Linked DNA regions of Oreochromis niloticus. The protein of the gene in region 1 purifies or fractionates together with the protein of each later gene. This does not show direct contact. Links are inferred from orthologs where the notes say so. Each region holds a gene or a part of one and is shown on either strand. Other genes may lie near its edges. The genes, in order: ccnb2 and pkmyt1.

Evidence for each region.
Region 2: the proteins of ccnb2 (region 1) and pkmyt1 purify together in Homo sapiens (affinity purification with mass spectrometry; 4 studies listed by BioGRID and IntAct, with this or other methods). This does not show direct contact. The link is inferred for Oreochromis niloticus from reciprocal best matches to the Homo sapiens genes CCNB2 and PKMYT1.

The regions. Positions count from the first base shown.
Region 1 is NC_031965.2:3,388,152-3,396,554, reverse strand, and holds ccnb2 (G2/mitotic-specific cyclin-B2), read left to right. Parts: upstream 1-5,004; 5' UTR 5,005-5,172; coding exon 5,173-5,196; intron 5,197-5,354; coding exon 5,355-5,471; intron 5,472-6,250; coding exon 6,251-6,529; intron 6,530-6,597; coding exon 6,598-6,756; intron 6,757-6,829; coding exon 6,830-7,066; intron 7,067-7,229; coding exon 7,230-7,370; intron 7,371-7,439; coding exon 7,440-7,550; intron 7,551-7,625; coding exon 7,626-7,727; 3' UTR 7,728-8,062; downstream 8,063-8,403. Other genes in the region: cars1 (cysteine--tRNA ligase, cytoplasmic), read left to right, coding at 1-4, 308-375, 740-799, 883-966, 1,511-1,639. UniProt on the Homo sapiens protein: Essential for the control of the cell cycle at the G2/M (mitosis) transition.
Region 2 is NC_031973.2:16,346,164-16,354,239, reverse strand, and holds the start of pkmyt1 (membrane-associated tyrosine- and threonine-specific cdc2-inhibitory kinase), read left to right. Parts: upstream 1-4,347; 5' UTR 4,348-4,457; intron 4,458-5,096; coding exon of another isoform or gene 5,097-5,099; exon of another isoform or gene 5,100-5,351; intron 5,352-5,646; exon of another isoform or gene 5,647-5,941; intron 5,942-6,508; exon of another isoform or gene 6,509-6,555; intron 6,556-6,638; 5' UTR 6,639-6,678; coding exon 6,679-7,047; intron 7,048-7,214; coding exon 7,215-7,452; intron 7,453-7,544; coding exon 7,545-7,818; intron 7,819-7,902; coding exon 7,903-8,009; intron 8,010-8,076. Other genes in the region: elongin-B, read right to left, coding at 2,700-2,808, 4,188-4,322, 5,097-5,099. UniProt on the Homo sapiens protein: Acts as a negative regulator of entry into mitosis (G2 to M transition) by phosphorylation of the CDK1 kinase specifically when CDK1 is complexed to cyclins. Mediates phosphorylation of CDK1 predominantly on 'Thr-14'. Also involved in Golgi fragmentation.

The DNA.
Region 1 (8,403 bases):
GAAGGTAAGATGTCTGTGTTTGAAGTTATAAAGAAGCAGCTCAGGTTTTGATCTCCCTCTTCAGGTCTGCTTCGTTTGCGCAGCTCTCTGTGGACTGGGTTAGTTATTACTGGAATAAACTGGCTACGTCTGTGTCGCGAAATCATTATCCACTCCATTCATCACATCTTTATAACTGCAGCGCATTAAGATGCCCTGCTCAATAAATCCGAGCCTTTGCTCTCTTAGTAAGAATGTAAAGAAGTTCTGACCTTGTTTCGTTATTACAAAGTGAAGAGTGTTGAAAAATAAAGTGGTTGTGTTGCAGGCCTGCCCACTGTGGTGAAACTAGTGGACAAGGAGACATTACTGAAGGAGAGAGAGGAGAAGAAGAGGGTAAGAGAAGACATCATCACACATCGAGTGCATGTCTGGAGCAGTTTAGGTACTTCTAACTGGGAAGTGTATGCTTAAGATTGACAGGAGATAATTTATCCCAATTTAAAGTAAATGATAAGCCAGAAAAAATAAGTGCCCCCTCCCAAAACTAGAGGACGCTGAGTTACCATGGATATAAGGACAGGGATTTCAACATCTAACAGCTAGTTTGTTCAGACAAAAGAAATTCTTAGTTGATTTACAATTATAACACAAGTCCACTACAAGCCTTTGTTTTTATGTTAAAAGTTTTTATCTTTTCAAATATGCAAACAACATGTGTTTTAAAACATTTCACACAATAAAATTCCATCTTTCACAGATGGAAGAAGAGAAGAAAATGAAGAAGCTAGAGGCTGCTAAGAAGAAACAGGAGCAAGAGGTCAGTCTGATGGTTTTATATAGACAGTGACCTTCTACGTTTGTGTCATCAGGAAAATCTTCATGTTTCTGTTACTGTTTCAGATGGCGAAACTGGCCAAGATGAAGATCCCTGCAAGTGAAATGTTTCGCAGTGAAACAGACAAATACTCAAAATTTGATGAAACGGTAAATCCTTATTTTACCTCCCATGCTTAATTTTTCATAAGCTGGTCCCATGCTGGTGGTGAGGCTCGTGGGCCCCGATGACCTCAGAGATCTGTTGCTGAGGGCTTAAAACCTGGGATGTCTAAGAAAGCAAAGACAAAGATTAGCACCTGGTTCTCCAGGTTGTGAGGTGGTCATGGGGCCAACGACCCCACGCCACAAAATCATGAAGTTACAGCAATAAAAGTGGGGCTTCGGTGCTCACAGCAAGACGTGTGCCTGAGATCAGGTGTACCTGCGCTCAATGATGTGATACGGATCCAAGAGTAGGAAAGACCCAGCTCACAGGGATTTGCTTGTACAGACATGAATGTCCTTATTTGAAATGACTCCGTATTCAGTGTAGCTGTGTGTATGTCAGAACTTGAGGAAAATTCAGAAAGGTAATTTAAAGGCTGTTTATGTTTTTATTTTTTTCTGTAAAGTTACCATGGAAACGACAGCTCACAAACTGTGTCAACCTGAAAAGCTTTAAAGGTGTGTTTGGTTTTGTTGCTGTTAACAGGGTTTCCCCACTCATGACGTTGAAGGGAAGGAGCTCAGCAAAGGTCAAGCCAAGAAGCTCCGCAAGCTCTATGAGACCCAAGAAAAGTTACACAACGAGTATCTACAGATGAACCAAAATGGCAACTGATTCTGCCATTCAGCCAATCCATCCACACCGCAGGAAAGAACTATAGAATAAATAATAAGGCCAGAGGTTCATTCTGTGTCTCCTCTTCATCCTATTTTGGTTCAGGAAACCGACGTGTGTGTGTGGATTGTGTTTTGTCCATTTACGTAACAGTTACATTTACATTCCATAACCTTGCAACATGAGAGAAAACCACCACCGGACATGACTTTGTTCTTGCTCTGTTGGAGTTTGGCCGTCTTTTACAACAGTAAAATCAAAGCAACAGGTAATAAAGTGGGATTTTGATGATGTGGCGGTGCAGCCTCTGTTAGCAGTGTCTCTATATGTTTTTCTTGAAACTCTGTGATACTGCCATTTGTTCAAGTATTAAAGCATTTTTTTAACAGTTAGTGCTTTCATGAATTAAAGATGCTAAATGGGTGGCTAGCAGATTAATGGGGAACACCAGCATTAAATGTTTTTTCCACCATGAATCTTCGGGACAGCTTCATTAGGATACCCCAGGAGGAAGGATTTAAAACATTTACATTTCAGAGGCCACTTAAGAAACTAGGACTGTTGTGGAGCGCTGCACCAACAAGCTTATAAAGAGATCAAATGAATACTGAGTAGAACTGAGTTCAGCTTGTTGTTTCATACACTTTATCCTGCTGATCAGCAGTGTGTGATATACCACTCAAACTGTGTGTTTGACCTTTTACCTCACGGGTCTGTTAAAGTGACTATGTTGTGTCATTCAAATATAGTTCATTTTTATGCAAATGTGCATTTGTGAAAGGGACTTTTGCTTTTCTAATAACTGGATCAAATTTTCACCCCTAACAGGAGAAACAACCATTGAATTCATTGTTTCAGTTGTAGAGGTGACCTTTAAGAGAAACCATTACATGGTTTGTGTCTTTCTCAATACCTGTGTCACCTTATACAAGAGTTACCTTGAAAAGCTAATAAAGTATGGTGGACATTTTTTTTTTTTTTAAATTGAATGTACCCTCATTTAGGAGTGCCTGAACCTCCTCTGTAGACTCAAACCACATGGGCAATGGTATCAGCTAAATGTGTGCAGAAACAAAGGATATAGAGGAAAACTAGATGCATCCTCCCCTTAAGTAAAAAGCAATTGCCTCAGGGTTGCAGAAAATTAGTGGTACATTATACCCTGCTGTGCTTGGAGCACATGGGAACGAAAGTGATGTGTTTTTGGGTTGTTTTTTTTATATAACTAACTGAACAAAGAGAATCTGTTGGTCCTTTCGCTCACACCTCGAACCCCATCGATTCAGCAGTTCCCTAAAACATCTGGGTTCTTTATTTTGTGCCATCTCAACAAAAGGACATTTTTCATAGGCCATTTTCAGCTGTGGCCTAATGAAACGCTGTGAGATCAAGGAGTGGAATTGAAAATGCCACCAAACTCTCGAGCAGCTGGTTTTTGTTTTCTTTCTTTTAAAAAAATCACACTGGGACAATTTAACCCCTGAAACCTGTTGCATGGGTTCTTGTGGCTTGAGTAACACCACATGGCAAGGTGCATTTTGTTATTCAGCCGTCCTTCAGGGGTTTGCATTTTTGTACTATGTGTTCTTCATATCTGTGGTTATAAGATGACTTGAATTGATTTAAGGGATGCTCAAATAAAGAGTAAGCGAGTGCAGTGCTGTATGATTACTTGGTCAGCTTTGTGGCATGCTGTGACTGTGGATTCATGTTAAAGCTCCTAATAGGGAGATAATTTCATTATACCAGTGGTTGACAGATCAGAAGAATACCAGCCAAAGTAAACATGCAGGTGATTCAATACTTCTGCATCAGTTCACTTATTTTGCTGATTTAAAGGAATGTGGTTCTAATTTGAAGTTCACAAATTTAGGTTGCAGCTTTATTATTTAATAAAAATACACGTATTTCTGTGTCAAACATGTGTCCTGGCCCACATGGAAAACACACAGTGGAGTCCAAGAGTTTGAAGGCATCTTGAAAGTCTTTCATATTTTCTTGCCAATTCAGAAATAATCAGAACTTTTAAAGGTTTAAGAGAGAGAAAAAAGCATTTCATAGTGCAGAGGTTCCCAAAGTGTGGGGCCCGCCCCCTAGGGGGAGGGGGGGGCGGTATGAAAAGGAGAAAAAAAAAAAAGAGCGCTTGGACACTGTGGACAGGTTTTTGACGGGGCTCCCACACAAACGCAGAGCAGGAGATGAAGCATCGCCAAATATGTTTCCAAACCAACTTCCTTCCAAGCCAAAGACTAGAAAATATGGTGAAGCATATCTTCCCTTTGGCTTCACCTGCACAAGTGCCGAGGTAGGTCTCCCCTGTAAAATTAGTTTCCCTGCGTCGGGAGCAGCGCTGGGCTCTCCAAATCACGGACAAACAGGATCCCACATTCTTGATTTTTAGTTCACAAACACTTCTTGTAATCACTAACTACTCCTGACATTTTGGACATGTTAGCTCTTTATACAGTAAAGTTACAGTGGGATACAAATAATATCAGGCTGATCCTGCCGTAATTTGTTCTCCCCGTTCAAATCACGGACAAACGGTATCCCACAGCTGTTTATGTTTTTGAACCCATTTTGCACAGAGAGGCATTTTTTGAAAAATGTATTGACAGCAATGTTGAATATTATTACACAGGAAAAAAAACAACTACACGTAAAATAATTACACCGTGACGCCTCTGCCTTTCTAAATGCAGGGACAGTAACTACGTGTGTATATGTAAGCGTGTAAAACCTGAAGATAGTCAGATTAACAGTAACAGTATTTTGTCTCTATCTGCCATTCTGCAATTCATCTCATGTAAACAATAACGTGGCGCACAGCGTGACGTGAAAAGAGGCACATACCTTTGAGGTTGCGTGACGAACTCTGTATTCCTCGTCCACACGTAAACGCAAAAAAGGAGTTTTAAATAATCTCCGTTTTCGGTGAATCGCATCGCCGTTTACGTGTTGACGAAAGGCCCAAACGCATAGAAACAGCTGCGTTTTCAAAAATACCCGTGTAGGTGTGGACGCAGCGTAAAAGAGTTAGTAGTATATTTTATTACTACCTGTAATTTATTGCCGTTTACTTGTATTTGCTTAGTTGTTTACTAAATGTTTGAGGTGTGAAATAAACCGCAATGGAACAAAATATGGGTGTGTGTGTTTGGAGGATGTGGTTAGGTGGTGGGGGGGCGCGAACATTTTTCTTGTAAAAAAGGGGGGCCTGGCAAAAAAAGTTTGGGAACCACTGCTGTAAATGAAGCAATGACTGTGAAATAAGGTAACCGAGCACTTTAAAAGCTCATATGGCTTTAATTCCCACCTGAAATCATTAGCCAATCACAAGCGTCCGAACGAAATCGCTACATCCAATCAGATTTAGAGGACAACTATTTGAAAGCTGCTCGTCGCTGTGTTGTTTAGCTACGGAAATAACTGTTTACGGATTTTGTTGGTTAATTGCCCTCTGTTAGTCTGAAATATATGCTCTTTTGCTTGTTCTTGGTCACTCTGTATCCTCGTTGCTGCCCACGGTAAACATGTCTGTGGAAGTTCGTGATGCGGTGAGTAGAAAGACTTTTGTTTGCTAGAGAAGCGCTGCTGTTGGCTGCGTTGGCTAGTTAAAGCTAGCGCTTCAATAATAACGCTATCGTTTCAGTAATGTTAAACACGCTGTAGAAAAACCGGTCAAGCCTTTTATTGTGCATGTTTGTCTCGTTAGCAGCTCCTAACCGCAGAGAACCGGCAGAAACCGGGGAAAGCCGCCGCAGCAGCGGGTCCGAGGAGAGCAGCTCTCGGAGAGATTACCAACTTTAACGCAGCAGTGACTGTCACAAAGGTAAGAGCATCTTGGTTTGGTTCCTGTCTCAGTTTGTCTGTTTTGCAGTCACTTGGTAAATAGGCAAGAAAGTCTTATAATACAGGTCTAAGGAGCTTGGAAAGAAAAGCGTCTGGACTTCTTTGAGTTGCTTGGAGATGTTTCACCTCTCATCCGAGAAGCTTCTTCAGTTCTAAGGGTCAATGGTGGAGAGTCTCAGATTTAAACCCAGTGGGAGTTTCCCCCCCCAAAGAGGGACAAAGGACCCCCTGATGATCCTCTACCTAATCACATGAGCTAAGGTGTGAAAGTGGGTGTGGGTCCCAATCAGCCAGGGTTTCGGGTGAGCTTTTAAATCTGGGACTCTCCACCGTTGACCCTTAGAACTGAAGAAGCTTCTCGGATGAGAGGTGAAACGTCTTCAAGCAACTCAAAGAAGTCCAGACGCTTTTCTTTCCAAGCTCCTTAGACTACAATGACCTGGATGACTGAGAACCTTCAGACATATAATACAGGTCTGATTTATTGGTATGTCTGCTAGACTAAAAGTCATTTTACTGGCTGACTTTCAACCCAGACTTCATCATCTATCAACGTCTTTTGCAATGAACACAGACCTCGTCAATTCTTTTACCTGAGCCAAAGCAAGAACCTTGCAGCAGACTAAAATCCCCTTAGTGGTTTGCAAAAGGGAAGGTCGAAATAGTTGAACAGAACTTTATTCCTGTCCAATCTGAAAGTCTTATTAGTGCATCGTGTTGCATTTTCCAAGTGTAATGATTCCAAACTTGTTTCCGTAGAGAACAGGACAGACAAAAGTGTCAGCCAAGCCATCTTGTGTCCAAACGGCTAAACCTGCTGAGGTAGCGGTTCGACCGGTCCAAGCAGCTACAGACCCTCTTCCTCTGGTTTTGGAGCAATCTGCAACTGATGTGTCCATGAAGGAGGAGACTGAGTTGTGCCTGGCTTTCTCTGAGGCTCTGCTTGCGGTGCAGGACGTGGATGAGGAGGATGCCAACCAGCCACAGCTCTGTTCAGAATATGTGAAGGATATCTACAAGTATCTGCACAACCTGGAGGTAATTTCTTCCCCTACCTTCCGACACAGCTGCTGTCATCTCTGACTTACATCAGTTTGCCTTCTCAGTTGCAGCAGACGGTACGAGCAAACTACATGCAGGGCTACGAAATCACTGATGGCATGCGAGCGCTTCTCATCGACTGGCTGGTCCAGGTTCACTCCAGGTTCCAGCTGCTGCAGGAGACTCTGTACCTCACGGTTGCCATTCTGGATCGCTTTCTTCAGGTGATGTTTCTGAACAGCCTTGTCTATGGATTTGTGAACTGCATCTAAAAGGCTTCTTCTGGGTATGCTGCAGGTCCAGCCAGTGTCTCGCAGGAAGCTGCAACTTGTTGGTGTGACTTCCATGCTGGTGGCCTGCAAGTATGAGGAGATGTACGCCCCAGAGGTTGGTGACTTTGCCTACATAACAGACAACGCCTTTACAAAATCTCAGATTCTCGAGATGGAGCAGCAGGTTCTGAAGGGCCTGAAATTTCAGCTGGGGCGTCCTCTCCCACTGCACTTTCTCAGACGGGCATCTAAGGTGGCAAATGTGAGTTTCATTATGAATTTATTGCAGAGAAGACTTCAGTGTAGGAATTGGAAGACTTTCAATTGATAACTTGCATGTGTATCACTCTGTATTAAAGAAAAATGGCAGCTAAGGTGTTAGAGAAACTGTAAAAATCTTAAACCTTGACGTGCATGTTTATCAGTCTGATGTGGAGAGGCACACGCTGGCCAAGTATCTGATGGAGCTGACCCTGCTCGACTACAATATGGTGCACTACAGGCCCTCTGAGGTCGCTGCTGCTTCCCTCTGCCTCTCCCAGCTGCTGCTGGACGGCCTACCCTGGGTAAGTTTAAAGTCACTTTTTATGAACCTCTTGCTCCTTCAAGCTGGCTGTTAATTGACCTCCCATCAGTCTCCCACACAGCAGCACTACTCTACCTATGACGAGGCCCACCTGAAGCCCGTCATGCAGCACATTGCCAAAAATGTTGTGCTGGTAAATGAAGGGAAAACGAAATTCCAGGTGAGTTGGCTGAGGATAAACGCACCAGCTCGTATCATGTGTGTAGAAACTGACCTTGAGCTTTTGTCTCTGTAGGCTGTGAAGAAAAAGTACTCGAGCAGCAAGCTTCTCAAGATAAGCCTCATTCCTCAGCTCAAATCCTCAATTGTCAAGAACATGGCGGCAGCTGTACTCTGACTCAACTCATCTTTTTATGATCTGAGAATTTGAGCCATTTGTGTTGGCTTTTTTTTTTTTTTTTTTTTTCTTTCTAATGCACCTTGAACTGCCTATCTAAGCAAAAGCTGAGAAGTTGTTGCGCAGCTTCCAGAGGGATCTACAAACTGCTTCTGTGAAGTAAAATGTCCCAAAGTTTCTCATCTCTAACTTTTTATTTTTTCCCACCAGTGGAAGATTTTAACTATTGAATGATTAAAAGTGCCTGTTGGGCAGCAAACAGTTTTGCATCTGTTTGCATGTAATGTACCTTGTTGGAGATCTAAATAAAGTTTTAGATTGTTCTTAGACTTTAACTTTTGTCTTATGATTTTTGGCAAAAAACACACTAACCTGCTTTTGGTTTTACGTCACCATAGACAGAAGGAAAATATGGATGAGGCAACTGAAAAAGCCTGACTGTGTTCTTGGCATGCATCTCACTAAAAGGGCTCACAAATGGCTTTGTTGTGGAACCTGGGGGATATACCAGAACAGCTGGTTCTGAAAGTGAACCAAAAGTCTTGTGGAATAATATTTGCTTTGGAATATTCAACTAAGATGGTGGGGGGCGGTGTCCTTAACAAACATTTCTGTAGAAATGACATGAAACTGGAACTAGAGCCTAACTGGAGTGCATGATTTTTAAAGTGGTGCT
Region 2 (8,076 bases), on another chromosome or scaffold:
TCTGCACGCTGTTGTTTCTTTAAGATACATGTTTGGTTGTGCTGCAGGAAAAAGGGAGTTAATGTGTGCAGGAAGGGGAGGGGGGTCCTGTGTGTGGAGTGACTGTGCGGGGCTGAAGTGAGGTGTTGTACGAGAGCACTCTCCCCGGAGTTAACGGCCCGTTTGCCTGTGTCACTGAATAAAGGGACAAACTGAGATCAAAACGTCTGGTTCTTGAGAACGTTACAATATTCTGCAGTACATCAAAAATGAAAGAAAACCATTAATAAACATATGAACGTTACCTCTGACGTTACCTCTGACGTTACAGCGGTTTTATTAGAGACACGGCTAAGCGTTTTGCATTTTACATAATTTTAAAAAGTTTAAATTTGTTCAGTATTGAACAGCAGAAATTAGGTTTTCTTTTCGGAAGTAAGTAAAAGGAAAAAAAAAACAGCGGCCGACAGCGCTGTAAACAACGGTAGACTTGTGCGTAACAAGCAAGCGAATAATGCAGAAAATAGATTTTTAGACGGGAAACTGTTCTTGAAGTACAGAGAGAGAGAGAGAGAGAGAGCGAGAGCGAGAGAGAGAGCTGTGCATGAAGTGTGATTTTATCGTGGTGGAAGCAAAACAGTAAAAGAGTGAATTCATGACGATGTTTATGTGAAGCGTAGTTTGGATCTTCTTTTGCTGCTGGTTCGGTCAATATTGTTTGGAGAGAGATAAAACTAACAGCTTTAGAATCAGCGCAAAAAGGGCGTAAACACAAAGCGCGGACCCGCCGACAGATCAGAACCAGCGAGCTGTCAGCTTTCAGCCCCGACCGTGTCCGTGCTGTCAGGTGAGAAAGGCGACATCTCACTGATTCTGATCCGCGGGTCGCGCTGTGTGTTTACGTCTTTGTGCAGAATCCGTGTACCTGCTCTCATTTACTGTCTTAGCTGTTTGGTGGTTGTTGAAATTTGAGGTTTCACCTGAGATTCTGGAATTTCGGGCAAAATAAATTTATATTAAAAGATCGATTCAGGATTTTAATGAATCGATTTCACGTTATCCAAGCCAGAATCGATTTTAATCGATAAATCGATTATAAAAACCCACCCCTAATCAGTTCATTACCAGGGCTCTGGAGAACTTCAAGACATGTTGAGGAGGCAATTTAACCATTTGAATCAGCTGTGTTGGATCAAGGATACATCTAAAATTAAGACATCTAAAATTTCAACATGTTTTGAAGTTCTCCAGAGCCCTGGTAATGAACTGATCATTTGATTCAGGTGTGTTGACCCAGGGTGAGATCTAAAACCTGCAGGACACTGGCCCTCAAGGCCTGGAGTTTCCCCACCCCTGCTTTAGAAAGACTACATTAAAAAAAACACAAACCACACCCCAAAGTAGAAACTCATTGCAAGAAAAGTGAATCCACCTGCAACCGATAACACAGAAGTTAAAAAATCAGTGATGAATGAAACTAAATTTTATACGTAGGTCCGTAACAGTGTTAAAAAGTAAACTGTGTAGAATGAGATTTTCTCAACTATGGATGCTTGTGCTGTGTCTGCTTCATTCCTCTTTAAGGAAATGAATCAACAAAGGAACTGCAGAAAAATCAGTCTGAAGACACATGTGGCCATAAGGAGATGGTACAAGCAACAGTGCTTGAGTGTCTGTCTTCCCAGAATGATGCTAGGGCCAGTGCACTATTTATATAATGTAACTCTGCAAAAGTAAAGGAAAAATGCCTTTAATTTGGCACAGGACTTATCAGAGGAAAGCAAAGTTTCTGTGACAGTTTGAAGGACATTGCACAATGTCAACTTCCAAGCATCACATCCTGGGGAATAAATAAAAACCCTTACTTGCGCTTCAGAACAAAACTTCAAGATTCACCCGTAAAGAAATAAAAAGAGAGAGCTTGCTTGCGAATATTTTGAGTCCTTTCTTTGCTCAAATGGAAATAAATCTGTTAGGTTCACATAAAACACCAGCACTTCTGACATGAAAAAAGCAGGCTGCCAACATGACACATTAGTTCCTTAAGGAGAAAACAGTGAAACTATGAGCTGGCCAAGTATGTTGCCTGACTCAAATCCAAGAAAACACTACTGAGGTATTTTTAAGACAAAAGGAGAACAACACAGGCCCTCCATGTTAAAGAAACTGTCTCTAAAGAAAGGAAGAACATCTTTATATAAAAATAAGGATCAATGGTATCACCCACCAAATGTAAATGTGGACATCTCAAATTATCTTGGTAATAAAAGGTGTGTTTCTTATAGGTGAGTTCCTATAGTTAAGCCTGTATTTTAATGAAGTAAACTGAGGTACTTTTAACTGCTCCCTTATTTCCCAAGAGGCCGCCATAGCAGAGGGAGCCACATGTTTGATTTGGAACAGATTTCATACCAAATGCCCTCCCTGACGTTACCCTCCCATTTATCTGGGCTCGTACTGGCAGTATACAAGCTTGCAAGCCCCTGAGGCAGGGTTTGTGTCTCCTCAGGTCATTCACATGTCTTATCCACTACACCGCTACTTTAACACTGTAACTCTAAACTGTTCTGATTTTAAATAAAGAGTAAATACATGACAGTTCAACTCTAAGAACAATTTTTATATTAAGATATTTAAGCAATGGTTCATAGGAATGTACTCATTTTTGTTGTGTAGTGTACCTCTGATCTTTAAAACCAAACAGCATAACCACAACATACCATTAATACGAAATGCCAGACCGACTGTAGCTGGGGCTTGAGGTCTGGCAGTCTGGTTGGTGAATCCAGAGTCACCCAGAGTTTTGCTATCCTCTAGCAGCTGATCATCCTGTAATACAAAAATATCATGACCTCAGAATATAAGAAGATAGTCCAACTAATATGCAGAGCGTGTTTCTGATAGAAAATATTTAAGTAAGCAATGTTTATTTACAGAGTTACAAATTACTGTACAGGAAAATAAGTAAAAACTGGGAACAACCACAATAAAATATATTAGAAAATTAAAACATGGTTCAATAGCAATACAAAACCAAAAATATTACAACACAATCTAAATACTTAAAAAACATTTCAATGACTTTTTCAAGAAGTCTATAGAGCGAGCTAAATATAGCTGGAGTGACAGACTGATCCATAGTCTTGGCTGCCACAGACTGAAAGGCTCTATACCCCAGTCTTCAATCTTGTATGAGGAACAAGTAATATATTTTGAGCCAGTGAGAAGCAGTGTGTTTAATGAGAAACTGAGATTAGTAGTCTGAGCTTGATTTAGTGCTCTGTATGTAAATATGAGAATTTTAAAACGAATTCTAAAATCAACTGGGAGCCGACGTAAAGAGCATAAAACTAGAGAGTACGTCTGCATTAGGAGTCTGGATGCAGCATTTTGTATCATTTGGAGGTATGAAAGAGATGATTAATCTAAGTGGGTAAATAGGGTGTTCCAGTAATCTAGGCACGAAGACACAAATATATTAATAATTTTCTCCAGTCCAGCATGGAAGACCATAGCTTACAATTTGGAAATCTTCCTTTAATGAAAGAAACCGGAAAATGACATAAAATATTACAGAGCGATTACAAACACTGGACTTCAAAGATGAGCAAAAGGAGGCAATCGCTTGACAGGTTCTTGAATATATTTTAGGAGGAGTTATAATCCTGGTCTCAGTCTCACTTTAGTTTAAAACAAGGTAACTGCTGGAAAGCCAGACATTAAATCATTATAAACAATTAGCTAGGGTGGACAGTCTATCCAGCTGGTGAGGCATAAAAGACATTTCAGCATGGAAATGACAAGTAATGCCCCTCAAAGATTTGAATGATCCCAGCTAAAGGAAGGATGTAATAGACCCAGGTTTGAGCCTTGTGGAACTCCACAGGTTAGAAAAGCTATATGAGATCAAGCAATATGAGCACAGAACAATGTGCCGCATCAGATGCCAGCTTTTAAAAACCTGACTGAAAGGGATCAGAAATCTGTCATAGGTAAAAGAATCTAAATAGATTTTCCACAACCACAAATTTTTCTAATAATTTGCTATTCAATGGTAATTTTGAAATAGGTCAATAATTACCAATATTTACCATGAGGTTGAAGTTTGTTGGGGTAATATTCAACTACTGTGAATGTTAACATTAACACTGGCTACATTCTGGCAAAATTAAAGTGCACATTTAGTCTTTCTAATGCTGTAAGCTCACTTTGTAGAGTCGTTGGTCCTCGGGTGGTCTTTTAAGTATTCCCTCGACAATACGCTTCAGCTCATAGACAGTAGTGGACTCCTTGGCATCGGTGAAGATTGTGGTCTTGTGACGCCGGATCATTAAGAACACGTCCTGAAAGGAAAAAAAGGGGGGCACACAATGTAAAAACCAGCTACATTTGCTCATTTACCAAGAAGTTGAGGACTGGATTCTATGAAACGTTACTCCACATTAAGAACGTCTATCCACAAAGATTGCCGTTCTTGGGTAAGTATATATTATGACCAACAATAACCCCGTTTTATTAGACAAAACATCTCATTAGGCCACGAAACTCGTTAATATTGCATGTCTATCCGGAAACTGCTTAAACACCTAACCTGACTGTACAGTAAACGCGAAGATATTTAAATGGTTATTTTACAATAATCTTTAATAACGGATTCTGTAATAGATATTCTGATAAGTGTCACTTCATTTATTTATATGCTAGCAAATAACAGTGAGCAGTGTGAAGCAAACGTAGCTCTGGGCTAGCGCGATATTAGCCGACACGTCAACTGTTTTGATAGTTCGGTGGAAAACAGCCCTAGCTAACACACGGAATAGGTCTGACAAATACAGTACACACTCAGCTAACCACATTATATTGCCTGGGTTAATTAGCTAGCTAGCGTTACAGCATTTCCAAGGTTAGCCGAGCTAAGTTCCCTCGCTAGCTACACCCCCTGGTTATGGATTTAAAGGCTAAGCTAGCAGAGCAAAAGTGAAATTAACATTTCTATAGCCAACAGTATCCGCTGTTATTATCGCGTTAATACGTTTGAACACATCGCCGAACGTTAATAGATTGTCGAGATCTACGTACGACTCTCCCAAACTAATCGGCAATAATATTAAAGTTACCATTTCAAGTGGTCAGCTAGCTAGCCAGTTACGCCAGCTCTGTGTTGTGCAGCAGAAGCCCAGACTGCACCGCTCTCGGATATTGCGCAATGTACATGCGCAACTCGTACATTCCGTATTCACGGAGAGCAGCTACGCAGCGCTACGTGAGAGTTTCAGAATTTGGCGCGAGGTAGGTTGAGGCTTGAAGGGTTTGGATGGATAGAAGACCGCTGTTTTGAAACCTGTCGTCAAAAGTGGACTATGGTCTGCGGGGTAACGTTGTTTAATTCCGCTTTAATTAAATAATTAAGTATAAAATGTCAGTTAGCGTAAGTTATCTTCACGCGGGTTAGCCAGCTAAGCAGGTTGTGTTGTCATGTTTGTTTTGTTCCGCCCGGTGTTAACGTTAGCCACAAGTGTTTAGCTGAGATGACAGTTGTCATTGCTATAAATTAATGGACAGTGTTTGTGCTTCGAGTAATGTTACGTTAACAAAGCGAAAAGTTATGTTGGAAAAATTAATCAGTTGTGTTTTATCAGCGGGTCTTTACTTTCCACTTGACGCCAGGGGCTGGGCTGGGCAAGGAATACCTGTTTTCCTACAAATGGGTTTAGTATCAATGGATCGAGAGGACTGTGCTGATACCGATATCAGACAAAAGCTCTACAACCTGTCAAACCAGATGTACCAGGTGTAGTGATAAATGGGTGGGGATCAACCTACAAAGACCCAGTTTTTTTTTTGTTTTTTGTTTAGTCTTTATAAATAATACGTTTGCTTTTGCTCTGCGGAGATAGAACTAGATGAAAAGAAACCATTATAATTGAGCACTAAGTGTGAAAAAAATCAACTTCCAGTTGTGGTGAGAAATTTATAAATACCCATACAAATACCATGTTGATTTGGAGCTTTTAATGATTTATTTGAACTGTTTTTTTTCCAGGGTGGAAGGATTGTGCTGCAAACATCTTTAATTACAAAAAAAAAAACAAGAATTGGGTGCACAAGTTTGAATTTATTTGGGATTTTCTGTAATCCTATGTGTTCTCTTGTGTTGTCAATGATCCCAAGTACATATCCAAACTGGTTTTGGAATGGATTTTGCAGGCTAACACGGAACATTTGAATGGCCTTCCCAAAGCTCTGACATCAACCCTGTAGGAAATGTACTGACAAGGTTTAAAAGCAGAGTCTGTGCCAGGAAACCAACTGATTTAAATGAATTCCGTCAATTCTGTCAAGACGAGTGGTCAGATATCCAACCACAATTATGCCAGATGCTTGTTGATGGGTACCAAGGGGGTCTAATCGAGGTGCAACTTGCTCAGGGACATTTAACCAAATATAAGTGGCGGAATATACTCTTGTGTGTCTTAGAGAAAATCTAAAATAAATCCAAACTCGTTTACCCAATTCTTCTTTTTTACAGTCACTTAAGATGTATGCTGTAAAATCATTCAACTATAAAAAGAGAGTGTATGTAAAATTCTGACCACATCTATATATATGTTGCTTTATGTGTTGCTTACGTTTACAATTTTTCCTCTTGACTGTTGCAGCTTGCTGTCTTTATAGTAAAGAACAGAAAAGGTCTACACGATGTCTGTGGCGGTGGAAACTACAGTGCCCAGGGTGGCTCTCCCTCTTCCAACCCACTTCTCCCACGCGGAGCAGTCCTTCTCTCTCAAAAAGCGCCGGCTGCCTTTATCCTCGTCGTCTACGTCAAACTCATCCTACTATTCCCCTGCTCGTCTCTCAAATTCTTTGCCCCCGCTGCCACCGTCTAAAGGATGCCCCCCGCTGAGCAGAATGTTCCCTCAGCATCAATCCCCCTGGACACCCCTGTCTAATTCCCTCAGTAAATCTCCAAATTCTGGCTATGATCCCAGCAAACAGCAGTCCTACTTCAATCAGTGCTTTACCAACTTGGGCCTGCTGGGGAGGGGATCATTTGGAGAAGTTTACAAGGTGAGCAAAACACAGATTTAAATAAAGAGAGTTATATAATAACATCATGTGTTTGGTGTTGCTGTTTCTTCACATCAAGGAAACTGAAAAATTCAGGATTTTAAGTATTTGTTTGTTCATTTTTTTCAAAAGTTGTAATTTCTGGATATTTTCTTTTCTCTCTCCAGGTGCAAAGCAACAGAGATGGTCGTCAGTACGCAGTCAAACGCTCTGCTCAGCGCTTCAGGGGTAACAGTGAGAGGAATCGGAGCGTCAGGGAAGCCAGGAATCATGAGCGCCTGTGTCCTCACCCTCATATTTTGAACTTCGTGGCTGCCTGGGAGGAGTGCGGCCGACTCTACATCCAGACAGAGCTGTGCAGCACCAGCTTGCTGCACCACGCTGAGAACCAGCCTCCTGGCCCAGGTCTGCCCAAAAACAGTTTGTATCAGCTGTGATTTTCTATAAAACTTCTGCATCCTCGTTCGTGCTGACTTGTGTTTTTTGCTTGTAAACAGACGAGCCTGCTGCTTGGGCCTACCTGTGCGATCTCCTCTCAGCACTGCAGCACTTACACTCTCATGGCTTCGTGCATCTGGACCTCAAGCCCGCCAACGTCCTCATCACCACCTCTGGTCGTCTGAAGTTGGGCGACTTCGGGCTGCTGCTTGAGCTCAAACAGATGGGAGCTGCAGGGGAGAAAGCAAAGGACGATGTTCAGGAGGGTGATCCCAGATACATGGCCCCCGAGCTGCTGCGTGGGGAGTATGGACCTGCTGCAGATGTTTTCAGGTACATATGTGATTCATTATGTACAGATGTGATTGATCTGATTTGAAATAAGTGTCTAAATATGATCACATCCTTTTCATTTAGTTTGGGGGTTTCCATCCTGGAGCTTGCCTGTAATATCGAGGTTCCAAACGGTGGCGAGGGGTGGCAGCAGCTCAGGCGAGGCAGTCTCCCCACAGAGTTTACCAACGGTGAGATCTGCTCTTGGAGGCCTCATCAATTTCCTCGTTGTCTACTAAAATGATTTTTATTTTAAAG